Oryzias latipes: one gene and its partner. The protein of the gene in region 2 purifies or fractionates together with the protein of the main gene of each other region. This does not show direct contact. Links are inferred from orthologs where the notes say so. Each region holds a gene or a part of one and is shown on either strand. Other genes may lie near its edges.

What was found. Proteins that work in one complex are often made in the same cells at the same time.
Region 1: the proteins of llgl1 (region 2) and pard6b purify together in Homo sapiens (affinity purification with mass spectrometry; 5 studies listed by BioGRID and IntAct, counting the BioPlex papers as one, with this or other methods). This does not show direct contact. The link is inferred for Oryzias latipes from reciprocal best matches to the Homo sapiens genes LLGL1 and PARD6B.

The regions. Positions count from the first base shown.
Region 1 is NC_019865.2:4,514,985-4,519,065, reverse strand, and holds the start of pard6b (partitioning defective 6 homolog beta), read left to right. Parts: upstream 1-1,280; 5' UTR 1,281-1,594; coding exon 1,595-1,657; intron 1,658-2,777; coding exon 2,778-3,000; intron 3,001-4,081. UniProt on the Homo sapiens protein: Adapter protein involved in asymmetrical cell division and cell polarization processes. Probably involved in formation of epithelial tight junctions.
Region 2 is NC_019866.2:18,056,714-18,060,228, reverse strand, and holds part of llgl1 (lethal(2) giant larvae protein homolog 1), read right to left. Parts: intron 3,487-3,515; coding exon 3,332-3,486; intron 3,247-3,331; coding exon 3,026-3,246; intron 1,050-3,025; coding exon 982-1,049; intron 619-981; coding exon 426-618; intron 1-425. UniProt on the Homo sapiens protein: Cortical cytoskeleton protein found in a complex involved in maintaining cell polarity and epithelial integrity. Involved in the regulation of mitotic spindle orientation, proliferation, differentiation and tissue organization of neuroepithelial cells.

The DNA.
Region 1 (4,081 bases), on a different chromosome or scaffold from region 2:
AAATCTACCAAAAGAGGGAGCATGTTCTGACTCAGACTGTGAGGGTATGGAAAAAAGTGAATAAATTGCAGGCATAGATAAAAACAACATTGACTTAGTTTGCAGCCATTGAAAGTCTGTTTCTATTGTAACGATCCGGCCGGACCGTCACTTTAGTGGGATAGCGAAAGCCAACTGCTCATGAAGTGGTCCTAATGGAAATCTGTCCGTGCCCCATACACCGCACGACCCCTGACAGTCTCAGGTTGGAAGAAACGTAGAGAGAGACAATATTAGCTTTTAAGCAAAAAGCCTGTTCATTCCAGCCAATATACAGCCCAAACAGCATGGATCGTGACTTCAGCTTCCAGCCCTCTGACTCAAGGTTTGACCCTAAGCTCCCCACTTCCCATGAGCCTTAGGGGCTGAAGGCGGGGCTAACCCCCAGGTCGCTACACTATCATCACTGATTTCGGTCGTCCGTCCCCGCTCTTCAACGCTCCCTCCAACCCAAATACAATCTAAACTGTTTTAACCCAAAATGACAAGTGGACTTTATCATGGCTTCACTTCTGCACCAAACTAAAATGAGAGTAAAATCCCTTAAAATTGGTTTCAATGCTTTTCTTGGTCCAATTCACCAAGTTTTCAATTTTTGGGAGCAAGTTAACTTTTTTGCTTTGCCAAAAAGCTAAAACATCTGTTTGCATTTGTCAATGGTGCCAGCTTGAGTCCAAACTTGAGATAAAATGTTTATTCCTGATCTGATTTATTTTATATGATAATTTGATTGTTTTAGCACATTTAAGGTAACCATTTATCGTGATTTTTGCCAACTTTTGCGATATGCGTATTGCACAGCTTATGTTGCGATAACGTTGCATCTGCAATTTATTGGGAAGGGCTTAATAACTTCAAGTAAAAAATATATGTATATTTTTTATTTAGTAGGAAAAAAATATTTATGGTAATAATAATAATCATACTTCATAAATTAAAAGTAAACCCATCACCCAAATTTCCTTTATTTTCCTGAAATGATGGTGTACATTTTGAATCAACGTAGACATTTTTTATTGAAAATGTAAAAAATGTTTTTTGAATGTCTGCCACTTTAAATATTATCCCTAATCCACATTATCTGTCCCTCGACGGTACAGAAATATTGTTTGTATTTATTAAAAGTTTTTCTCATGACGTCCTTGTTCAAAATAGTGATAAATATGAGTCTTATTTTGAAGTTTTAAATGTATTGAAATGTCAACGACTCTTATTTTGAAGGGCGCAGCTTTCCAGGCACTCGGAGGGCGGCTGGGCATTCAGCCGAGAAGAGTCGCAAAGACACAACCGGACGCAGCGCGAGGTCCACGCACAGCGGCAGCTATGAGACGAGAGAAGTTCACGCGCTGAGCCAGGCGGGTTGACAGCCTTCGTTGGACACTTCCGGACCGATATAAACGAACCGGCGCACGCGGAGGAGAACCGGGACGTCTTCTGCTGCTGTCGGAGAAGTGACTGGCGGACGCTTTTTTTTGGGGGGGGGGGATACGCGGCTGCGGCAGGAGGAGCGGAGAGAGAGGGTGTGCTTCGGCGGCTGTCCCGCTGCTAGCGAAACATGAACAAAAACCACCGAGTGCCGAGCAGCCGTTCTTTGAGTGCCGTGGAGGTGAAGAGCAAGGTGATCCCTGGACTCCTTTACCGTTTCCGTTCGATGTGTTTGTGATCGCAACTCCGCGGTCATTAATCTGTCACTCTTGCTAATTTAGCCTGCTAAGTAGCCCGGTACCAGATTAATGATGGCGCAAAAAAACACATGAACAAAATGTTAAACATTTTTGTGTTATTGTTTCCACAACATCGATCGAGACGTCGACGCGCCGCCAAACGTGAGAGTGGCGTCGTCGTTCTTCTCGGTGTAGTTCGAGGGTTTACGTTAACGTCAGTTGACGCCGCGGTGAGCTCGTGTCACCTGTCACCGCTTCCTCCGCCGCTCCCGCCACCCGTTCACTAAAGTTTAGAGCCGGGGTTCTTACCGCTTTTCCCTCCCGGGGGGATGGGGGGGGGGGGGGGGCATTCGCGGGACTTTTCTCATCTTTCTAGTTGATTGAAACTACCGGAGGAAGGCAGGAGCGGCTGCCCCGAACTTAGGGCGACGTCGCCCCTCCCGCGTGCACAGGTGTCATTCGGCCTGCGACAGGCCGGCTCCTTCCGCCAGAGCCTGCTTGTTGCATGATTACACACACCGTTGACAGAATAGGCTCTTTTTTTTAGCGCCTCTAAACTCGTTTTTGTTCATGTGTGCGCATGTCGACACAAACTACAACCGTCCCTCTGTTGATTCTACGGAGTTCTGCTCTACAATTTGTGTTTTGGGAGTTTTATATTTTGTTATTTGGTCATTTTCTACTCATCCCTGGTTCTATTTAGGGTGTCTCCTCCCAAAAACCTGAGCCTAACACACTTCTTTTGGTGTAAACCTGGCCAAGTTGGCACTGAATTCTCATCATCTTTTGTGGAGCTTGGCAACAGTAACCACAACAACCCGTCCGTATTCATCAACATTAGCCAGGAGACATTATAGTACAGAGTCTCTGAGCTGCACTGAAGAGCTCAGACGGCGTGTTAGAATGCAGCTTTTATAAAAAAAAAAAACTGATTAACTCTATTTACTGCATCCATGTTTCATTTAGAAACCCTATTATTCATGTTTTACAGACAATACTGGTAGTTGAACACCTACATGTTCGTATTGTAATTAATGCTGACAAAACTTTATTTTTATTTTTTTTGCGGGTCAGTTTGGTGCAGAGTTTCGTCGGTTCTCTCTGGATCGGTCGAAGCCGGGGCGCTTTGATGAGTTCTACGGCCTTCTGCAGCACGTGCACCGCATCCCCAACGTGGAGCTGTTGGTGGGCTACGCCGACGTGCACGGCGACCTGCTGCCCATCAACAACGATGACAACTACCACAAGGCCATCTCCACGGCCAACCCTCTGCTCAGGCTGTTTCTGCAGAGGAAAGGTAAGAACAGGAAGACTTTGAACTGCTCTGTGCTTGTCTGAGAGGTGAAAACTGCTCACCTGAACAGAAATGATCAAATGTATACAATGCTCTGCTGAAGGTTTCGGGATTTAAAAGGATATTTAAAGAGCCACTCCGATGAAAATGCAGTTTTTCAGCATGTTCTTGTGGCTTTTTTTTGGTGTCGGAGGACATATTCAAAGAACATTTAGCTCAAAGTTGCATTTCTGAGTATTTCTGTGTTCAAATCTATGTGAATCAGGAGCAGACAAAAAATGCTGTTTGAAAATGAGCATCTTTGTGACGCAGAAAATACACTTGGTGAGTGACAGACAAGCTCCCGCTCTGACCTCTCTGCACCAGGGAGAGGAAGCGGGGCGGGGTTGCCCCGTGCTCAGAGGCAAATTTCTAATGAACTACTGCAACCCTGCAGTAAACTATGTCCTAGAAAATGACACAAGTGTTTGGATTTGAGCAAAATTGTGACATAATCATTGTTAAAATACCACCGGGAACGCTTTGAAAATAGATCAAAAGATGGAAGGCGGCTTTAGAAACAGGGGTTTTATTAATTTGTTAAATTGATAATGCATTGGAGAGCCATGTTTAGCTGTAATCATAGATCTGGATGCTTTCCGAAACCTTTTTGTTTGTTTTCCAGCTCTGACCGGAGTATTTCTAGGTTTGAAACTTAAAAAAAAATGTTTGGAAAAATGTCCTCACTTCTTTTTAATACTTTTTTTTAGAAGTAGATGTTTGGATTTTGTGTTCTGCTCCTGTGCTGTTGAGCATTTCCAGGAAATGGTGTTGAAAAATGAGGATTTTTTTTTTTTTTTTTTTTTACCATCTGTCTCCTTGGGGTCAAATTTGACCCTCCTTTCGGGTTTTTAAACTTACTTGGCAACTGGGGAGTTTCCGAGCGTGACCTGTTGAACGTCCCCGCCCCCCTGGGTGTGCTTGATCGGGGCAAACCTCGTGTGTTTAAGCCGTCCCGCTGTGCCATATGACTGTATAGAGGCTAAGCCACTTTGTCAGGAGGAGATTAGTGGGGGTCACCGTGCAGTGCTGCATGGGACGGTGT
Region 2 (3,515 bases):
GCTCTTCATCCCACATTCCTGAACACGCAGCTCTGTTACCACAGGATACACAACATGTATATGTGCGAGTTAGGAGGGTAAGGCGGAGCGTCGAGTGTGAAGAGGAGGATGAAGGAAATATGAAAACAAGCCATAAAAATCTGCTGGACATCATTCATTTGGTTCCGTTTCTTTGTCTTTGCTGAAACCAGTTTGCTCGGTCTGACTTTATCGGCTTGCTTTAAAATAAAAACTCTCCATGTAAAAAAAAAAAATGAAAGGAGAATTACAAGGCAGTTTATTCAGTTTCAAGTTTAAATAATGAGAACAATAAAGTGGGCTTGTTTGAGATTCAAACACATGAAAACCGTCTGAGGCGTTTCAGGATTCATCCCAGCAGGGAGTCAAACACGCCTGAACTGCGGAAGGAGAACTCGACTGTTTACCTTCCTAAAGGGAGGCCACTCCTCCTCCTCCTCCTCCTCCTGCTGCTGCTGCATTTCTGGGTCATCGCAGGGGTCGTGGGGATCATCGATCGGGTCGCCGTCTGTGTGGAAGACGTTGGCCGTGCTGAGTTTGTACAGTGGAGTCAGAGCAACACCTGAGGCGTCCCAGAAACGAACAGTGCCGTCCTCGTGCCTGCAAGAAGCAGATTTTAGCCCCGGACTGTCCAGTCATGACTCAGCAGATCTGCCTCAATATCTGATTTTGGTAAAGGTCTCATGTTTGAGGTTTCTCATCTAATAGATCAGTGCTACTTTCAATTTAAAAAAATAAATAAGATTTTTTCAAAATAGCAGAGGTTAAACTATTTGACAAAATGATCTCAAACGTCTGCACTTAATTGTAATCTAGTCCATCACCACATCAAATGACGAATATGTTTGTGTGAAAAAAGTCTTTTTTACTTTTGGAGCTTCAAATTTCTTCAAAAAAATTTGATTTCGAACAGAAACGTAGGGTCTAAGCGGCTAAGATGAGTGAGCGTGTGTGCGGACCAACCCTGTCAGCAGCAGCTCCTGTTGTCTGGGTGGGGGTGCCAGGTTCTTCCCTCCACATATTGGCCATTTCTAGACAAACAGAAATTAGGGATTTTATAAGCAGCAGGAGAAATTTACGTGCGACTAAACCAATTTTCGGCTAATATTTACTACGGATGCCGCAATTCTTGAAGCCTACTTTTTACGCCATTGAACCAAATTGTAGGAAAAGTGAATTGTTGCCTCTCTACTGCATTCGTTTGCACAAGTTTATAATGAAAGTGTCAAACACGTGTTGTGCTAAAGTTAATACATTTAATGTTGTTTCATAACAATTGAAACGTTTCTCTTCATTGTCACTTGCTTATTAGGCAATGTGAAAAATAATTTTACTGACTTTTTTAATGTTTTGTCTTACAGAACTCGTATATCGAACGGAAACAAAACTGTGACCCAAAAATCGAGATTTTAACGGAATCATGGGAAAAGTGAATCATAGAATCCCCAGGATTTATTATTCGGCTAACATACTAACTCGCCAATTTTGAAAAACTTCTCAAAACCAATATGGCACTTACCGATATTCTTTTCCCCCTTTCAATTGTATTAACCTTTTACTTTTAAACGTTTAAGAATGGCGCCTTATTTGACTGCTGTAATTTTAAAGTACCATATAAATTAATTTGAGCCAAACAGAGTTGAATATACAGAGAGAAAAAAACAAAAAGAAAAAAAAATTACCATCATCTCTAATCAACCTACGTCACAGAGGTCATCCTCTTTACTAAACACCACTTAGGCACTCTGGGCTCCTTGTGCAAGCCTACCTTGTGTAGATATCAAAAACCGTGGTCTAATATTTGACCAATTAATGTCTTTCAAAAATCATTTTTATCACCTAATTAACAGGTCTAAACTAAGTAAATTGGGAACTAAAGATGACTTGCATTATTGTAATTCATGCTTGTATCTAATATTGTTTAGATTACTGTTATTTCTCTTTTTGCTTGTTTTGATTAATTCAACTGTTGGTACTAAATGCTGCTTGAAAGCTTTTAACAGGAACCAGTAAAAAGGGCTCATTTCATCAGTTTTAAATGCTTTTCATTCTATCCATTTTAGGATTGATTTTACAATTTTAGTTTTGATTCGTAGAGCTCTTAATGAGCAGGCCCCTAATTATGTTTCCTAACTCTTGGTACCACATCTCCAGTCGTCCTCTTTGGTCCTCTGGTCCTACGTAAGGTCCCCAAGACTCTGTAAAAAACTTGAGGTGGCCTCGCGTTTCAAGCAGTAGGATGCCTTGCCCTGATTGTGACCGACAATCAGGGCAAGGCGTATTGGAGTGTAATTTAATGGCCTGAGGGCTTCAGAAAAGGCTTCCTGGGAAACGTCTTGGGACATGGCTTTGTTTTTTAAGAAGTTTTTGTTATTGGTCGGGATCATCAAGGAATATTACTAGAGCACAGAGAGATGCAATTTGGAGAGTAGGTCAACATTTCAGACGCACTCCACGCTGGGAGAAGAATAACACGTTTTAGTTAGTTTAGTTTAGCAATTAGCTAATGTTCATATTTTATGACTGATTTTATGTTTTTGAACAATTATTGGTGTCAACCCCGTCAAAACAACTGTGATTTTGGGCTATATAAATAAAATTGAATGGAACTTATGAATGTAGCAGCGGTTTGTGTGTAATCTGTGTCTAATCAAACAGTTGACGTAAGCTTAAAGACTTGGTAGTATTCAGACAACTTACATCTGCGCTATAAATTCAAACCCTCAGGTCACGTTAATGTGGCTTCATTTTAAGAAGCTGAGAAACTCAGATCAACCAGTTCATGGATTGAAAGCAGTTCTTTTGGATTCTAGTTCTATCTAAAAATAAATGATTTGTTAGTTGACTTACATAAGAAGAATGTATAGAAGCAGAAAGGTCACAAACCATACTGTGTTTAAAAATGTTAAGCCTCTTGCATTGTAAAGAGGAAACTGAATACCTGTTTAAACCGATTTACAAACTAATCCTGACTTTGGCTGATAGACGTTCCTTTGGCTGTTCTCACTCTGTGTGTGTGGCGCCGGCTCTGTTGTGCTTTGCCGGCGTTGATCAGCCGCTCCCACAGCTTGGTGGAGACGTTTGTGACGTGACAGGAGCACGTGATAGCTGACGAGTGAAGGGGAGCGAGGTAAGGAGTGGGCAGCGAGGGCCAACCGGGGGTCAGCAGGTCAATCACAACCAGCTCCTCCTCCAGAAGCACAACGAGAGCCGATGGGTCGTCAAACTCTGAGGGCGGGAAGACAGAAGGCAGGACATTTAAGATCCAAAACAGAATAAAAGTGAAAGGATTTATATCTGCTTGGATTCTTACCTTTGTCGTTGTCCATGTTGTGGACAGTAAAGAAATCGATCACTCGAGATGTGAAGTCCAGAGTGACATGCTCTTTGTCCTGCTGGATGGTTAGACAGTGACGGTCTCCATAGCTGGCTCGTGGCATTCCTCCACTATATAAGATCACCGGGGAACTAGAGAGAAGCAGAGGACCCTATTTGCA